Arabidopsis thaliana: one gene and its partners. The protein of the gene in region 2 interacts with the protein of the main gene of each other region in a pairwise test. Each region holds a gene or a part of one and is shown on either strand. Other genes may lie near its edges. The genes, in order: TY1, AT4G00980, AT5G08650 and AT4G15700.

The links.
Region 1: the proteins of AT4G00980 (region 2) and TY1 interact in a two-hybrid assay, tested with the Arabidopsis thaliana proteins (one large-scale study listed by BioGRID).
Region 3: the proteins of AT4G00980 (region 2) and AT5G08650 interact in a two-hybrid assay, tested with the Arabidopsis thaliana proteins (one large-scale study listed by BioGRID).
Region 4: the proteins of AT4G00980 (region 2) and AT4G15700 interact in a two-hybrid assay, tested with the Arabidopsis thaliana proteins (one large-scale study listed by BioGRID).

Annotation. Positions count from the first base shown.
Region 1 is NC_003070.9:28,811,151-28,814,899, forward strand, and holds TY1 (thioredoxin Y1), read right to left. Parts: upstream 2,015-3,749; 5' UTR 1,799-2,014; coding exon 1,613-1,798; exon of another isoform or gene 1,338-1,612; coding exon 1,249-1,337; intron 1,058-1,248; coding exon 880-1,057; intron 789-879; coding exon 723-788; 3' UTR 535-722; downstream 1-534. Other genes in the region: EC1.1 (egg cell-secreted-like protein (DUF1278)), read left to right, coding at 1-433; AT1G76770 (HSP20-like chaperones superfamily protein), read left to right, coding at 2,419-2,566, 2,642-3,228. UniProt on the Arabidopsis thaliana protein: Thiol-disulfide oxidoreductase that poorly activates chloroplastic malate dehydrogenase (NADP-MDH) and fructose-1,6-bisphosphatase. Provides reducing equivalents for peroxiredoxin Q.
Region 2 is NC_003075.7:421,929-426,097, reverse strand, and holds AT4G00980 (zinc knuckle (CCHC-type) family protein), read left to right. Parts: upstream 1-1,509; 5' UTR 1,510-1,517; coding exon 1,518-1,841; intron 1,842-1,958; coding exon 1,959-2,049; intron 2,050-2,163; coding exon 2,164-2,254; intron 2,255-2,405; coding exon 2,406-3,366; 3' UTR 3,367-3,620; downstream 3,621-4,169.
Region 3 is NC_003076.8:2,807,558-2,815,275, reverse strand, and holds the start of AT5G08650 (Small GTP-binding protein), read left to right. Parts: upstream 1-1,673; 5' UTR 1,674-2,055; coding exon 2,056-2,295; intron 2,296-2,391; coding exon 2,392-2,568; intron 2,569-2,666; coding exon 2,667-2,753; intron 2,754-2,952; coding exon 2,953-3,009; intron 3,010-3,169; coding exon 3,170-3,235; intron 3,236-3,671; coding exon 3,672-3,734; intron 3,735-4,088; coding exon 4,089-4,133; intron 4,134-4,236; coding exon 4,237-4,337; intron 4,338-4,599; coding exon 4,600-4,696; intron 4,697-4,938; coding exon 4,939-5,010; intron 5,011-5,481; coding exon 5,482-5,636; intron 5,637-5,719; coding exon 5,720-5,777; intron 5,778-6,061; coding exon 6,062-6,142; intron 6,143-6,371; coding exon 6,372-6,458; intron 6,459-6,577; coding exon 6,578-6,649; intron 6,650-6,739; coding exon 6,740-6,874; intron 6,875-6,984; coding exon 6,985-7,058; intron 7,059-7,443; coding exon 7,444-7,531; intron 7,532-7,718. Other genes in the region: AT5G08660 (D-lactate dehydrogenase (DUF668)), read right to left, coding at 1-298, 442-750. UniProt on the Arabidopsis thaliana protein: Promotes chloroplast protein synthesis. May act as a fidelity factor of the translation reaction, by catalyzing a one-codon backward translocation of tRNAs on improperly translocated ribosomes.
Region 4 is NC_003075.7:8,935,387-8,938,641, forward strand, and holds AT4G15700 (Thioredoxin superfamily protein), read left to right. Parts: upstream 1-1,971; 5' UTR 1,972-2,158; coding exon 2,159-2,467; 3' UTR 2,468-2,738; downstream 2,739-3,255.

The DNA of each region.
Region 1 (3,749 bases), on a different chromosome or scaffold from region 2:
TCTCATGCTCATGGTGGCTTCCTCCACAGTGACAGCTCGCCCTCTCATGAAACCATCCATGGGGACGTCTTCTCCTACCACAAGCCTTGTGTACAGGCTCAAGCTTGATGAAGATACAGGGTACTGCTGGGACTCACTGATGCAGCTCCAACACTGTTCTGGAGAGCTGATCTTGTTCTTCCTCAACGGTGAGACTTACATTGGCCCTGGGTGTTGCAGTGCTATAAGAACCATTGGACGCAAGTGTTGGCCTACTATGATTGGTGTTCTTGGTTTTACTGCTCAAGAAGGTGATATGCTCCAAGGTTACTGTGATGGCAATGACTCTGACAACAATGGTGAAGACCATGCTCTTGCCTCCTCAACACTGCCTCTCTCCGTGAATTTCAAGACTACCGTTGTTAGATCTTCTGCTTCTCCTTCTAACCCTTGAGTCTTAGTATTCATCTTTACACTCCTGCTATGTTTTCTTTTGCTAAGAGAATTTTAATCTTTATGTAACTGGTGACGAATGCTTGAAAAATAGCGTCTCTGTTATTACTTTTGAGAATAAAAGATCATCATTACTCACAACAAGGTTTTACAAATCTGGCAAACATAATCTTCTTCTTCTCAAATTCTCCAAGTTAAATCAACCGAAAAACATCGCTATCACTAAGTCCTGAATAGGTCAGGGACAGTTGAAAAACATACAAATAATTAAAAAAGAGTTCATGATCCAACTATGGCTTCACTTTTAGAGAATCCTCAATTCGTTGAATGAGTTGTTTGGCCGTCAAAGCACCCTCCTGGAAATCACAAAAAAAGAAACGTTTGTGAGTGAGATTAAGAACCTTAAAACGAAAATGAAGAAATTCAAAGGCATTGAAGTCATCATACAAAGCGATCACAAGGTTCCCCATCTTTGAATAGGATGAAAGTAGGAAGTGCCTCAATCTTGTATTTATTAGCAATACTGGGGTATTTTTCGGTATCAATCTTCACCACCTGTATCTTGTCTTTCAGGGTTTCACTCACTTCATTGAGTATTGGAACCATGAACTGGCAAGGACCACACCTGCCAAACAAACAGTACATTCTGATTCCAAATCATCTGTTTAACAAATAAACTCGATAATAAGCAAACAGACTACACTGGATCCCAACATAGACCAAGTATACTCATTCATGATGAATAATAGTCAACTAGAACTGGTTGATGACCACTCAACTAACACATGTTATCATTTGACACCAAAACAAACTCACCAGGTTGCATAATAGTCAACTAGAACTGGTTTATCAGAGTTCACAAGCAGATCCTCAAATGAGTCAAATGTCTGCTTCTTGGCTTCAATCTGAAGTATGAACAAGAATGGTTTGTCATTTAGTTCAATCTAAATCAAGAAGTAGATAAAGGCACTCACTTTAAATCAATTCCAAACTCTAGAGAAAATCAGCTATAGAAACTAAAATAAGAAAAATTTCAAAATAGGAAAGCTATCATCAGCTCTACCATCAGAAGAAAGTTTGAAGCTTGAATTCAATAATTCATAGGGTAAAATTAAGTAAGCTAGAATTGAACAAAATATAAGCTTTGGAAAAAGATGTTTAAGCAGAGAAAGGCGATTACACGTCGAGGAGTGCATCGAGTCGTTGAAGATAAAGATGGAAACTTTAAGTCTCCGGTTCGAACCCGACGAACCGGAAACTGAAATTTGACGGCCGAGATAGAACGAGAAGCGAAAGCAGAAACACCTGACGATTCTTTCGAATTCAGCGACGGAACCGTAGAAGAAGAGAGAGAAATTGACGCCATGAAAGAATCAGAAAAAAACAAACGATCTCTTGATTCGGCGTTGGCGGTTGGTTAGGTTGATGATGACAAAAAAAGTTGGACACTTGTGGAAAAAAAACTCGAATTGACCAAAAAGAGAGAACGAACTCTGAAAGAAAATGACACAAGGTACTAGAAAGACAATGATGATCCACTACGGTCAAGTACACCGTATCTTTTTTGTTATAGGCCCACAAACATGTTCTAGGCCCACATGTTATAGGCCCGTTCCCAAACACCGATCACTCTTCAATTTAACTTTTTGCTCACAATCTTCAGGCTCAATCATATGACATGACAGATCTCATTGTAAATGCAATCGCAAAGGGTTATCATTATCAACTAGTACTATAAAGATAGCTGTTACTTCCCGCCAACGCAACTGGGACAGTTAAAACCGTTGAGGGTAACAAAAGACAAAACTCACGACTCCGTTTTTGAGTTTCCTGAAGATGGAAGTTACGAATATGTTCTTGTGGGCCTCTTCAAAGAAACGATATGAAATAGCCTAATTTAAACAAAACTAGAAAAGTGTGGACTAGAGAGAGACTTTAGCAAAAACTAAAAACAGATGTATCAAAAGAAGCTCACAACTAAAAAAGATGGAGCTTGAATTAGGTCTGAAGATCACTCGGACTAAAGACGATGTTTCTTCCTCTACAGATTTTCGGGTTGCCAGAGATTCTTTTGGTCATCGTTCACTTTCTCGAGAAACCAACTCTGTTTTCTTCCTCATTCTTCATCTCAAAGGTTCTATTCCCTCTCATATTTATTCACCTTTTTTTCTTACCTAGCATAGAGATTGAGATTGAAAACCAAATGCAGGATTTAAGAAGGATGGTATCGATATCGAGATAAACAAAGAAGGGAATCTGATTAAGATCAGCGGAAGAAAACAGGTTGAAGAGATGGTTTTGGTAAAGTGGGTGGAATGGAAAAAGGAAACAGAAATAAAGGAATTCAAAAAAGTGTTTCGGATTCCAGATATTGTAATTCTTGACAAGATCAAAGCGAGGTTTAATGAAGAAGATGGGACTTTAACTGTTACAATGCCTAAGAAAGTTAAGGGAATTACCGGTCTGAAGATCGAGGAAGAGGACGAAGAAGAGGAGATGAAAGAGCCGATAGTAGAAGAGAAAACAGAGGAGAAAACAGAACCAGAAGAAGAAATCAAAGAAGAGACAAAACCTGAGGAAGAAAACGAAGAAGCAGAAGAGCCACAGAGAGAAGAGGAAGAAGAGGTTGTTGAGGAAGGAACAAGAGATCATGAGGGGAAAAAAGAAGAAGAAATCGAAGATAAACCAAGAAAGAAGAGAAGAAAAAAGTTTCGTTTACCATGTTTTGCAGGATCCACTCTGCTTATGTCTATTATTGTTTTCATTATTCAACTGATTCAATCCAGAAATAAATGAAACCACACTCCTTAGGTTTTTAAGATAGGGTTCTTGTTGGTTTTTAAGGATAGAACCCACTTTCTTATTATCTGTTCTTCTTAGCCTTGTTCTTTAAAACAATAAAAGTCAACGTGTAATACAATCAAAATACAATCAGTATCTAAACCAAAAATTAGTAGGAGCGTATCAGCTAATAAATGGAAAGTATTTGACCCGAACCGTGTATAACGGCTAGATTATCACCGAACCTAAGGTTTGTGTTTGCTCTGGACTATAACAAACCCTAAGTGAAAAGGAAAAAAGGAAACTTGAATGTCAAACAAATAAATTTATATACCTGCGTCTCGCGTCTCCTCTCAAGTTAAAAACACAATTGCTCTGCATTTTTTTCAATTCTCTTCTTCGATTTCTGTCTGCTTCGTTTGCCTCTCTGTTCTCTTCTTCTTCCTTTTTGAGATTTCATTATTCATGTGTTGTTGCATCTGCTTGTTGGATTCACCCTAATCTTTGGTGTGATTCGTTGGTCTGGCCTAAGAACG
Region 2 (4,169 bases):
GCTGAAACGTTGATCTACGCTGCAATCTCCACATTGCATACATGTGTCATCATATTGTCTATTTAATGTTTGCAATTAGTGGGCTTTTGGCCTCAAGTTGTACCTGTTTATGAAGCCCATTTGGGCTAATTAATAGAAAAATGTTTGCCGTTAAAAAAAAAAAAAAAAAAGTGGTTCGATGGTCGTAAATAACTTTTATGGGTTTTGGTCTTGGGTTAGAGAATTCAAATTCATGGGCCAACCCAATTTTCATTTTAAGTGCTTCTTCTATGATGACATTTCACGAAAATAATACAATGGATTGTCGAGGAAAGAAGTGATGTTTTCTGTAAATTGTTAGGCATTAGTTATTGGAGAAGCGAAATGTGAAATGCACATTGTTTGTTGGCTATTAACTTGCTTTTAAAGGTGACTTGAACATATTTGGTGTCTTATGTTGATTCCGAAGCTATGAGTACTTTTGATCAATCTAGTTTATGAAGTTACTTTTAGCATCGCCTTCTCGATTTTGTTACTGCCATCACATGTCAAGTTGGTTTTGATGTTTTGTAAGCATTGATAAGCTTTAACGAACAAACTTTTTTTTGTTATCATTACTGCGTATTGGAGTTTTGCATTACATCTTTTGCTTCTCTTATGGCTGAGCAGGGCCGGCCCTGGGCTAAAGTTGGTGAAACTCATGCTTTACGCGCCTAAAATTATAGATAATATTAAAGGGCATCAAATTTTAAAAATGTTTCGTAGTCTAGTGATTGTTTCATAGATTAGTGACTCTTTCGTGGACAGTTCGAACCTTACCTTCGTTTTTTTGAGACTTTAATTATAAATAGATTTAAAATGCTTAAGAATTTTAAATGAGCTTAAAGATGTTTTAGGCATCAAAATCTGTTGGGTTAGCCCTCTGGCTGAGTCTGAGCTCGCAGCATGCAATACTAATTTCTTAAGCTGCAATGCAGTGAGAAGACAAGTAAAACAAGATTAACATTAGCCCAAACTAGATTATTCACAACAAATGTTAATGACTATTACCTTGCTATCTTTATATTTAGCCTCTTTTGTTTGAGCTTAATTTTCAAAAATAATTTGCTTTCTGTCGGTTTAGTTTCTAGAAGGATTCGACTCTTAGTATCTTATCGGCTTCGTGAAGAAAAACTGTATTTCACCCATATATTTCTCAATCGTATTCGTATCTCACCCATGTATTCATATATCGTATTATAAAACAGAAAAGATATATAGATAAGGAAAAAAAACTCATATATATATATTTGCATATATAAAGTATTAAATGCAACAGCTATAGCAAAAAGGTTCTATGGTCTAGCGGTTAGGACATTGGACTCTGAATCCAGTAACCCGAGTTCAATTCTCGGTAGAACCTCTTTTTTTCACACTCCGGCCAAATTTTTTCCCCCGGCGATTTATGAACCCTAAATATAACGCCGGCCAACAACCAAAACTCGACGCTACTGCGAAATCTTTTTCTTTATCCTTTTTTTTCTTCTTTTTCGGGCGAAATGGAGAATTCGTTGCTTGATTCTGGTGAAACTATGGAGATTGTCGCTACACAAAAAATCGAGGAAACAGTGAAGAGCATACTCAGTGAATCTGATATGGACCAAATGACGGAGTTCAAACTCCGACTTGACGCTTCGGCTAAACTCGGTATCGACTTATCGGGAACCAATCACAAGAAGCTAGTCAGAGATGTTCTTGAGGTCTTTTTGCTATCGACTCCCGGTGAAGCACTCGTACCGGAGACGGTGGCTCCGGCGAAAAATGAGACAGTTTCTGTTGCTGCCGCTTCCGTTGGTGGTGAAGATGAGCGCTTTATTTGTAAGGTTGCGACTTTGCCTATTTGTTCTATGTTTGATTCACTGTATAGAGTAGAGATTGTGATCATCTCGATTTTGAGTTTTTCAGTGGTCACTGTAGAAATTGTTGGTCTTTAACTGTAGTTATCGGAGAAGCAAAATGCGACGGTTCAAAGATACAGAGGCCAACCTTTTCTATCGATTGGTTCTCAGGAACATGGAAAGGCTTTTAGAGGTAATTTGAAACACAACTTGGTGTCTTGGTCTTGACTATGAAGCTATAAGTAGCCATTTTTGTTTTAGATATGCTCCTGTTGATTTCAATTGTTAGATGTTTCTTCTCTGTCAGGAGCACATTTGTCAACTAACCAATGGTCTGTAATCAAGAAGAATTTTGCAGCGATAGAGGACGGTATTAAGCAGTGCCAATCAAAACTAAAGTAAGAATGTGTACCTTATTTTAAGTCTATAAAGATTCATGTTCCCTGGCATTGCTTTTAGTGTTTTATGGTCATATAATCATCGTGGCATAGGGCATTACTGTCTGGCTAGCAATGTAGGCTGCTTATCTTGCTATTAAACGTTATGCAGATCTGAAGCAGCACGAAATGGAGATACTTCTGAGGCTGTGGATAAGGACAGCTCTCACGGTTTTTCTGTTATCAAGATTTCACGATTTGATGGAAAGAGTTATCTTTACTGGGCTTCACAGATGGAACTCTTTCTGAAGCAATTGAAGCTGACTTATGTACTCTCTGAACCTTGTCCCAGTATTGGTAGCTCTCAAGGCCCTGAAACCAACCCCAGGGAAATAACTCGAGCTGATGCTACGGGGAAAAAATGGTTGAGAGATGATTACCTGTGCTATACTCACTTGATGAACTCCTTGTCAGATCATCTATACCGTCGATACTCTCAGAAATTTAAGCATGCCAAAGAATTGTGGGACGAGTTAAAATGGGTCTACCAGTGTGATGAATCCAAATCGAAGAGGTCACAAGTCAGAAAGTACATTGAATTCAGAATGGTGGAAGAGAGACCGATACTCGAGCAAGTCCAAGTCTTTAACAAGATTGCGGATTCCATAGTGAGTGCTGGTATGTTTCTTGATGAGGCATTTCATGTGAGTACCATCATCTCCAAGTTTCCCCCGTCTTGGAGAGGCTTCTGCACCAGGTTAATGGAAGAGGAGTATTTACCAGTCTGGATGTTGATGGAACGAGTAAAAGCTGAGGAAGAGCTTCTCAGAAATGGAGCAAAAGGGGTTACATATAGACCAGCCACAGGCTCCTCTCAGATGGAAAGGACACCGAGTCTAGGAACAACACATAGAGGATCTCAGAGCGTAGGTTGGAAGAGGAAAGAACCTGAGAGAGACGAGAGAGTCATCATCGTCTGTGACAACTGTGGGAGGAAAGGACATCTCGCAAAGCATTGCTGGGGTAGTAAATCTGATGAGAGAGCTTCCGGAAAATCAAACCGGATCAACTCCTCAGTCGCTGCACCTGTGGAATCAGAGACTCAAGCAACAACAAACAATGATAGGGGGTAGTAGTTGATGATTGCTGAAGCCAAAATGTTTATATCTCTTCACAGATATACTTAAAGAGGTAAGTCTTTTGAATACCGTTGATTCAGGATTCAGAAGCAGTCCTTTTATGACCTTTTTTCAGCTTGTCCATATGTCTGGCCTATTAGATTTATGACACTGAAATGTATAAAAGAAGAACAGAGAGATGACCAATAGATCAGTTTTGGCCTGATTTAATGTAAAAGTATACTTTTATGAATGATAATTTTTTTGTCAAAATTGCTTTTTAAATCCTATTTTGAGGAACCAAAATAAAAACAGAAACCTCAAAACTGATATACAAACAAATAAACTGACATCAATTGAGGTGACAATACTTAACACACAACCAAAAATTAAGAGTTTCTTTGTCCCAAGCGTTATGGAAGATATTCTCAGCCTCTAAAATTAAACTTGAACGTCGAAATTTTAAAAAGGACCAGATGGAGAGTAATATAAAATTAGCGGGTGAAAAATAGAAGAAATTAAAAGTTTCAGGGTGAAAAGGAAAAAAAATGAAACCTGTCAGACCGCCGTGCGACCACCCCGGCAAGGGAGAACCGAGCCGAGTAACCATCCTCTACAGCACCGGATGCATCCAAGGACAATCGTAGCCGTCAATCACGCTCAAGCCGCACGGTCACGGTTCATCAACAAGGGTTTAGGGCCTGTCTCTTGAGAAATTTTCTCAAGAAAACAGATGTACGAGCCTATAGTTCAAGTAAGGTCGTGACCATTGATGCTTTGTATCCATATATAAAGAAAACGTTTCTCCACTAGCTTAT
Region 3 (7,718 bases), on a different chromosome or scaffold from region 2:
CAAGTCTGAGTAGTTCATCGAAATCATTCGAGACTAGGTTTTGAACACCCTCAGAATAAAGGATAGTTCCTTTTAAATGCTCGATGTTCCTCTTAGAAAGGGATTCAATGAGATTTGAGCTTTTGACAATTGTGTTTGCTACTTCAAAAGCTAAGATCCCAAGTTCATTGCCTTTAGTTGCAACTCCAGAAGTAAATCCACCGCTACTAAGATCTGTCATGCTACTTCCAAGGGTATCCAAAACATCTTTTGCTCTACCTAACCCCGCTTTGCCTAAAAGCTTACTTGCCTCTGTAACCTGCCACAGTATAGCAAATTCGGATTGGTCTCACGACATTTCAGGACTTCTAAACTTAAAAGACACTTGCCGTTACTAAGAGACAATGCTTTAACTCTTAATCTTAGTTGCTAAAAAAGGAGCTTCATTTGGTCCATACTAACCTTTGAAACAGCGGTTTGAGTTGATTTTGCAGACCGAATTTTCTGTGATGGAGCCATAGTATACGTCGGAATTCCATCATAGAAATTATCTTCAGCTTCCCTTTCGCGGAAAGAGAAAACATCTTTTAATTGATTTTGTTCCTTGACGTCTTTAACCATAAGCTGCCTCATACCAGGAACAATCAAACTGGTTTGCCCATTTGGTTGTGAGTGGCCAAAATCAGGTTCTCGACCATCATCAGCCACACTAGAACCAGAATACTCGCTGCCAAAATTGATTCCAAGGCTCTTGGAGCAAAAACTCCCCATAACTCTTTTCCAAAGACCTTTAAGCTAAGTTATCGAAAAGATCATGCCACTGTGGGGAAGAGTAATAACCTAGAACAAAGGAAAAAGTCAGATCAAGAGACTCAAGGAGACCAAATCTTCCAAACTAAATTAGTAACACAGAGATAGGATCGTGTCCGAAATAGTTTAAGACATTGTAATCGCCTTGGGGGAAATTAACAGATTCACATAAAGCCAAAGCCGTTCACGAAGTAAAAGCCTTTAAGTCAAACACTGTGCAAGTCTTCTTTCTCCAAAAAACCTAAGCAAGATCGTATTTTGAGGAGAGGAATGCGAAGAAGAAGACTTACCCAGTAGAGAAAAAGACCAGAAAAGACTTGGGCCAAGCCAATTTCGGAGGTATAGAGCTTGGGATTCACGACACACAACAGTGAAAAGACAAAAGAGACAAAGGAACCTCGAACACGAGAGAATTGATGTTAAAAAGGAGAAAGTCAAGGAGAGTAGTATGAACTAGGAACGAAGGAAGAAATCAGAAAAACAAAAATTAAAAGAGAGATTGGACCACACCAAATTGGCATCAGCTAAAGCCAAATTGAAACAACCAGCTTGATAAAGAAACAAACGAAGAAAAGTCTAAACCTTTTTTCTTTTAATCTCCTCACACTCCATGTTAATAAAAAGAGTCACAGGCGGTGATGGATTGGTCAAATCGTCCCTTATTACCACGCCATTGACTCATTTTGTGCTCTGTCTTTTTACATTCCGTGCAAGTAAAAAACTCATCTTTACTTTCAATCCCTCACTCCTCTTACTTCTAAACCGAAATTGCGCTAAAAGGTTAGGACTTTTCATAGGGATTAAATTAGTCTTAAAAGGCATGTGAAGATCTTATATAAGAAATGATTAAACACTAATCAACTCATCATTGAATAAAAAAGAGTCTTATATTCTCAAAATGCATGATTTCTGGTTCATCGAATCAAATCATAGCACAACAATATTGAACAAAAAGCTTATTTCTATGTTTTTTGACATTTGATGTTCTACTTCGAATATTTTTGGGTTTAGAATTATCTGATTTAAAATCAATTTATTTGATCTTGTTCAGTTTCATTAAATTTGTGGTCTAATTTCGGTTTAATTCACACAAAACAAATTCGTTATTTTAAGAAAACAGATTTGGATCGAATCGGGTCGGGTGGGTTAGAATCCGATGGACAGGCCCAATTGGATACAGTGGCCCAGTTACATAGTCTGTGGCTCAGGATACTTTGAATTTCTCTCAAAACAGTAGAGAGAGGTGTAGAGAGCTTAGACAGTGCCATGGCCATGGCTTCTGCTATGGACTTATCTTCTCCTCCAACGTTTTTCTTATCCGGAACTTCTACATCTTCCCCATCTCTCCGTCGTCTCTCCTCCATTTCCGTCTCTGGATTCCGCCGTCACTCTAATCGGAAGTTACAGATACTTTGCCAAGCCACAGCTGGAACTGAGCCTCAGAGCGGTCTCTCTGTCTCTGGCTCCAAATTAGCCGCCCGTTCTGGTCAAGACCGTCTTTTGAAGGTCGGGTTCTGTTTTGTTCTCTCTCTTCATCCGTGTGCCGAAACTTGAGAAGAATTTGGATTTTTTTTGAAACTGAATTTGTTATGAAATTCGCAGGTTCCAATTTCGAACATCAGGAATTTTAGTATTATAGCTCATATTGATCATGGGAAATCTACGTTAGCGGATAAGTTGCTTCAGGTGACTGGTACTGTTCAGAACAGAGATATGAAGGAGCAGTTTCTTGATAACATGGACTTAGAGAGAGAACGAGGCATCACTATCAAGCTTCAGGTTTTTCTTTCAATCGCTTTCTCTGCACAATCAAAAATCAGTTTCGATAAGATTGCTCAACGGTCTGATTTGTAACTTTGCGGTGTATGTTTGTGTAGGCAGCTCGAATGCGTTATGTTTATGAAGATACACCGTTTTGCCTCAACTTGATAGATACTCCAGGTCATGTTGATTTCTCTTACGAGGTACTTACAATATTCTAATCTACTTATTGTCTACGGATACATTTGAAGCTTAGCCTTATAGTTATTTTTCATATGTGAGAAGTTACTTGGTTTGAGTGTTATATATCACCTAAAAGCGTAATTTTTTTTACAGTTAGGAATATACACAAACTATTAAGTTGCAGTTTTGATGAAGAATGCACTGTTTATTTGTACATAGGTTTCCCGATCTCTTGCTGCTTGCGAGGGTGCTCTTCTTGTTGTGGATGCATCCCAGGTGATTTTTCTTTCTCTTGACATACAATTTTCTGACACGCTGTGGAAACCTGGAATCTGTATTGTTTATGCCGTTTTTTCGCTTGGTAATTTCGTTCTTTTCTGATGGTTACATACTTACATTACTGAAAAACTTAAACTTCCTCTATCATGTGCTTTAGGGTGTGGAAGCACAAACATTGGCTAATGTGTATTTGGCCTTGGAAAACAACCTCGAAATTATTCCCGTAAGTACGGAATTATGCTTCATCTTATTAGCTATATGTGCTAGTTATCATCATTCCTTTTAACAAATCACATTTCAACTATATGTGGTAGTTATCATCATTCTTTCCTTCGTCTCATCTCCATGGAAGATTATTTAAAAATGTCAATGTCGTTTTATTTAAAAGAAGTCGGAGTCTGCAATAAGTTAACTTTCAAACAAGGCAAATATGTTAAAAAAAATAGGTAGTATCACTCTGGCAGTACATAGAAGATGCGTAGTAAAGAAAAGAATAGCTAGTCTAGGATAAAATGATTATATCATTTAACGTTTCATTATTGCTTCAACCTGATTCATGACTATACAGGAAATAATAATGTAAGGTGGTTTATTCTTCTTTCAAATATTTGGTCTGCATACCAGAGTTTAAAGCAAATGAACTCTACTTCTTCCTGCAGGTTTTAAATAAGATTGACCTTCCAGGCGCTGAGCCAGAGAAAGTTCTCAGGGAGATTGAGGAGGTTGGTGATTATGTTCATTGTGTTACCCATTTTATGATGTTCGTATTCAATAGCAATCATACAATGCAACCAGTAATAATTTGAACAGTATTCCTTTTTGGGTGTCTGCAAAAACTCTTCAGTCTTTTATTTTTCTGTTGTCAATATGTTATCTTGACATTTTACAAGGTTCTAGCTTCTAGTATTAGATATTATGTTGATTATTGCGGTACATTCTTTTATGCTTTAAACATTTTCTTTGTGATATTATGATCCAGTCTCATGTTCCTCGAATGGGGTAATTGTCTCATTGCTGCAATTTCAGAGACATCAGCCTTTATGTGAACACTGATTGATAATTCATATTGTTTGTAGGTTATTGGGTTAGATTGTAGCAAAGCGATATTCTGTTCGGCAAAGGTTAGATTTTAAAATTGTTTTGCTATTCTGCTACCCAAAAATTAAGACGTGTGGCTTTCTATCCATTCAATTACAATTTTTGGGGAATAATATATACACGCAGGAGGGAATTGGTATTACCGAGATTTTGGATGCAATTGTTCAAAGGATACCTGCACCTCTCGATACTGCAGGAAAGCCCTTAAGAGCTTTAATTTTTGACAGGTTTGCACTTGTTGTTTTTATTCATAACGATTTTTGCCTTTTCTAGAGAAAACAGTATGAAATTGAGTCTTGGAGTCGAAGTTGTATTCGTATATAATGATTGGACTGATCATTGGCATGTCAAGTCAGTACCAGTTAATCACTGGTGAACTAAAAATGAGTGTGAAATACTCGTGTTTGTTTTGCTTGATTAGTCTACAAGTGTGCAGTTTTTATATGTGAACTACTTTATATTTTTCGTCCAAAATTCATTTTGCTGCAGTTATTATGATCCATATCGTGGTGTCATTGTATACTTTCGAGTTATCGATGGGAAAGTGAAGAAAGGCGACAGAATTTTTTTCATGGCAAGCGGAAAGGTTTATCTCTTTTACTCTACTGTACTGTCTTTCTATTTAATCGAGATAGCTTTCCATTTGCCAATAATGAATTGAATGTAATTTGTGCATGAGATAGGTTTTCGCGGTCTATTTGAATAAAGCGATGTGAAGTGTTATTCTATAATTCTTTCAGGAAAAATTTGAGAATGTTTAAGCTTTTAAGAACGCTTACTTGTGTTTCACTAGTATCCTTCATGTTCTCAGTTTTGCATCAATTGCAGGATTATTTTGCGGATGAAGTCGGAGTTCTATCTCCAAATCAAATTCAAGTGGATGAATTATATGCGGGTGAGGTAGTGTACTCTTTTGAACATAATATTTTGTTTGTTTTGTTTACTTTCCTGTGCATCCATGTCCCATTTTCTTGTTGAATTTTTTTCTTTCAGCAGAAACCTTGGTATTATGAAATGAAAATGTCAGTATTCTTTTGCAGTTTCCGCCGTTCTATTCCAACACATGTTAATAGGAAAACTAAAAGCGTTTGTAAATGGAAGGATTTTCTTAGCATTTCCTTGTAGCAGCTTTGGCAGAAGATAGAGTTGTGGTTAATAACAATTTGAATGCAATGAAACAAATATGTTTTCACTTTTCTTGTTTGGCTATATTTGAGAAGAAATGGTTAGTTGCATCTTCCCTTGCTCAAGTTCTAATAGCTAGAAAGATGTTTTTAGCACTGATTGATGCTGCTGGTGTATATCAGATATGCCTGAATATCATGCCACATTTCTTGCACATATTTTAAAGGTTACTGTCCTTAAATACAGGTAGGATATATTGCGGCTTCTGTAAGATCTGTTGCAGATGCCAGGGTAGGAGATACAATAACACATTATAGCAGAAAGGCAGAAAGCTCTTTACCTGGTTACGAGGAAGCTACCCCTATGGTGTTCTGTGGTCTTTTTCCAGTTGACGCTGACCAGTACTGAGTTTTTGTTTTTCATTGTTGACTTTTTGCTTTTTCATTTTGTATTTTTTTTTTTCACACCTGGTCTATGATGGCAGGTTTCCCGATCTTCGCGATGCATTGGAAAAACTGCAACTCAATGATGCTGCATTGAAGGTATAGTAGAATTAAATGACAGAAACAACATTTTTCTTTCATCTGTACCCAGAATAATTTGCACGGACGAAACAACTATGGTCTTCGTATGCTTACTTAGCCAATGTATGTTTATGCCCAGTTGGCTTCGAATTGGAAAGTAAAATTGTGTTTTGCAAAGAACTGGTCTTCAGTCCTCTATTGTATGTATCTTTGTTAAAAATATTCACATTTGGTCTAAGGAGCGTATACGTTAGCATTAACATATCTATAGGTTTGTCCTCAACTTGGTTTTTATCCTGCAGTTTGAGCCTGAAACTTCGAGTGCCATGGGATTTGGCTTTAGATGCGGGTTTTTGGGTCTTCTCCACATGGAAATTGTGCAGGTCAGATATGTTTCGCTCTTCTTGTTCTAAAGTGTTTTTGGTGCGTCTCTGACTGAAAATTTCCTATGCAACAGAAGATAGAGAAAAGAAATTCATAGATACTGAGTTATCTGTTAGTATTTTACTTATTTACAGTTTCCTCCCCGATAGATACCCGCCATAAATTATACTCAACAAAGTGAATTATATCATTCTTTGTTCTTACGCTCCAGTTCACTCTTCTTCACAGGAAAGGCTAGAGAGGGAGTACAACTTAAATCTTATTACCACAGCTCCAAGTGTTGTTTATAGGGTGAACTCTGTAAATGGTGATACTGTAATTTCCTCTTGATCCCAAACTTTTAAATATTCTTCTTTGTTCCCTGAAAATCGCATCCTTTTGTCTTTCTTTCTTGATCTAGAGCCTTATTACCTGTGAAATCAATTTTACTGCAGACTTTGTGCTCAAATCCATCACGCCTTCCAGATCCTGGGCAAAGGAAATCGGTCGAGGAGCCATACGTTAAGGTTGCCTTTTCTACTGGAGATATTGCTGATAAGTTCACACACCACATTTCGTAGAATTACATTTCCTTACTGCAAAACCATTTTATACAGATTGAACTGCTCACACCAAAAGACTATATTGGTGCGCTTATGGAGCTCGCTCAAGAGAGGAGAGGGGAGTTCAAAGAAATGAAATATATAGCTGAGAACAGAGCTTCAATCCTCTATGAGTTACCTCTTGCAGAGGTGAGATCTCTGCTTGTGCAGAGTTAAGATAACCCCAATGAAAGTTTAGCCATGTCTCTCTTGATTATGTAAACTGATCTTCTTGTTAATCGCTCCCTGCCATTTTGCAGATGGTGGGTGATTTCTTTGACCAATTGAAGTCGAGAACCAAGGGATATGCTAGCATGGAATACTCCGTTATTGGGTTAGATCTTTCAACTTTTAATACACAGATCTTTCTCTTACTTTGTGATGCTTGCCTTCTATTTTTGTTGATTAACAAAGAAATGCGTCAGCTTTTTTGTGAAGATAAGAATCTATATTCTTTTCATAGTAATCCCAAAGTGATAAACAAGTATCTAAAATATATATATTTGCTTAGCAGCATCAGATCAATTTCAATCAGGTTAATTATCGTGTTGCTCTCTATCGTTAAATTTGGTAGCCCTTCTTTATACAAGTTAACTACTCAGCTTCGTCAGTTTCCATTTAAGCTTAATACATAATATGTTTCTTTTGCTCTTTTTGATGTCTTTCTTACCATCTTAAGGTATTCAACTTTTTTTTTTTGTCTTGTAATATGTGAGCAGGTACAGGGAAAGTGATCTGATAAAACTCGATATTCTGATTAATGCTGAAATGGTGGAACCTTTGTCAACCATCGTACACAGGGATAAGGTTATTTTGCTTAAGCTCTTTAATATGAACTTTTATGAATACAGCATACATACGCACTCTTACACCTGAATACAAAAATTTGGTTCAGCAATCTCATTGATACAATTTCACTTGCCCAAAAAGTTTGGATAAGTAGATTGATGGAAACACGAGGCGCTGCCAACTATCTTTTACACATCTCTGATTG
Region 4 (3,255 bases), 8.5 Mb from region 2:
TATGGTTTTATTGTTTTAATAGGTAATAGAATGTAAAGCCTTAATTATGGGAATTGGTTCATACGAGTAATTTCACATAATGGACTTAGAAAGATATCTAACTTTTTATAAAGAAAAATTCTTACACTAATAAGGGTTTGTTACAAGAAAAAAAAAGTTTATCTTAGGATTTAAATGTTAGGATCTGATGTTATTTACTTATTTAACTAGTTACAAGTAAAACTTTTGCTGCGGGCCTGCGGCTTTCGTAAATTAGTGATATGATCATATGAATGAAGCAGATCTGTGTCATCTGTCTATCTTTTTTTTTTTTAAACAATCTATCTTTAATTAAAGAAAATTTTGAATAGATGTAAACTAAATATTAAATTCTTCTCTATCCATTTAAGAAAGTTGTGGGCGTTATTGTTCAACATCATGGTAGAAAATGACGCTACTAACCATTAAAACAACAAAGTGTGTAAAGAATTGGATTCTACCATAAGAGGAACACGTTGCATTGTTACATATATTCCATGCTCTAGGACGGTACGGGCAAGTTGCAGAATAAGATGTGATTTGGCATATTACATAATGTATGTGTCGGTACATGAATCACGTACACTGAAAATGATGATAACCTTGTATTGTGATGTAACAATAAGTGACTCTTGAGATCGAAATGGGCCACCATTAATACTATTTTGAAGAGAAAAACAAAAAAAAAACTAATATTTTACATTTTTTGTATATTTTTGGTTTTAGGATATATATATACGTGGTTGCTTCACTATCATACTATCATATCCATCTTGTTGGGCACGAGCTTGAATTTCTAGCAATCTTATTCATCGAATAGGGAATAAAGTTCAATTTTGTTTTATTCTTTGACATTGCAAGATTCGATTTCATGCATGACGGTAAGGCTAAAACGGAACCACAAAGTTTGCCTTTTTCTCTCAAGTGGTTATAAAAAAACAATTCTTGAGATATTATCTCATACTCTCTCGAGTTTTCTCAAACACTGAAGCTTGCAACTCTTTTTGGCGTATCTAAAACTATGTCCAAGGCGTATCTAAAACTATGTCCAAGCTATCCAATGATTTTTACCCGATTTTCAGCAGAACACATACACTATGAAATACTATAAAGTATGATTGAAAGCATATTAGATATCGAAATATTTTTCCATATATCATGTACACATAACCGTTACAAAAAATAATTGCTATATTATTAATAATTTCTTATTAGACTCAAAAATACTGTAAGAAATATTTCAATTAATTTTGAATACTATATTAGTATAGTACACGAAATCCGATAATTTCAATTAACGACGACTTCACGATAACATGAAATCTTTTCGTATATAGGCGTCAAGACATTTATATGTCGATAATGTGTTGGATATTTTTGACGCATTCCTGACGACATATTTAGATTGAAAGTAACATTCTCAAAACCAAAAATTATTATCACAAGCCTAAATGAGCCAAAATGAAATCCGGAGTAAACACTATTAGCAATTTTCAACTTTATTTGAAACTAAAAACATATTTCGGAATTTTGAAATTTTATAAGTCAAACGAGTTTAGCAGAGATAAAACTCATTTCTGCTTTTTATCAGTGGTTTTCACAATGAAGGCCGTACTAATGAAACATGACATTATTCGTCCGTATCAATTATTCCTCATATATATCAAAGAGAGATTTTGTTTTCTGTACGTTTTACCAAATTAGTTGATAGTTTTATTCTTTAGCTGCAAGAGGGAAAAAGACTCAAAGAGTCAAGACGTGTGAACCGATAATATCCTCAGATTCTTTCGGAATACTTCGACTATCTTAATTTTCATCATTTAAAATTGTGTTCTTTTATTTCTTTACTTACAATTTGAGATATTTCATATTTGTGCTAAAGTTGATTCTCGTAGAAAAAGGCAACGTAATAAGAAAGGTTACGTACTTTAGAAAGCTATATATAAAGGACCTTACCCACTTCACTCCATCAAACACAAAAACACAGAGTCACTTCTCATTTTCACCCAAATATATCAATAATCTCTCTATAAGTTATCTAGTTTTCCCATATTCATCTCTAATCTAGCATTTTGACCAAACACACCTATTTTTCTCCTTTGCAAGACAGTTTTCAAATATCTATCACGTTATATTACTAATGGAGAATCTACAAAAGATGATCTCCGAGAAGTCGGTAGTGATCTTTAGCAAGAACTCTTGCTGCATGTCTCACACAATCAAGACTCTCTTCTTAGACCTTGGCGTGAACCCGACGATCTATGAACTCGATGAGATTAGCAGAGGAAAGGAGATAGAGCATGCATTGGCTCAGCTCGGGTGCAGCCCGACAGTGCCAGTGGTGTTCATAGGAGGGCAGCTTGTTGGTGGAGCCAATCAAGTCATGAGTCTCCATCTCAACCGCTCCCTTGTTCCAATGCTTAAGCGCGCTGGAGCTTTATGGCTTTGACTTCAAAATAAATGGAATTGCAAATGACTTAGGTTCTGAGAAACTTATTAATGTGAACAAAAAAAGGTAAAAAAAACATATACAAAAATGTATGTATGAGTTTATTACTATATATGTCTATCTATCTAAGTTTTCAAAAGATAGATTATGCGGTTACCTATTTTGTAAACATGCATCTAAGAGATATTTATATTTTATAATAAAAATCAGCAACATTTGGATTTCTCCTTTTTCCCAATTCATATTTATATAATTTTGTATACATATATGCATCTAGAAATGAATACACGTGCACTGAATATAGATGATTTTTTATGGTGTAAAGGAAAAAAGAAAGAATATATAACTATTTATGCAGAACATGCGCCAAGACATAATAATTAATTTAAAAATTTGAAGAAGGCATATTTTATAGGCTAAGAATATTGTATTTGTATCTGCCACAAATTAAAAAGCGATGACGAGTCTGAATCGTGTGTAATGTCAAGCCTTAACTTTTCAAACGAAATTCTTACAATGATATGCAACTGTTAATAAATGTTAGGCGTGATTGTCAACTGAATTAGCTAGTTACAACTTACAAGTGTAAAAATACAGGAGATTGCGTAAATTTGAGATATGGATCTTAGAACAACTCTATAATCAATTAAAGAAATTTAGAATTAAGGTAAATCAATCATTAAATTCTTCACTGTCTATCTACAGAAACATTGTTGAACATCATGATAAAAAATGACGTTTCTAACCATTAAAATAACAAAGTGTGTAAGGAATTGGATTCTGCCATA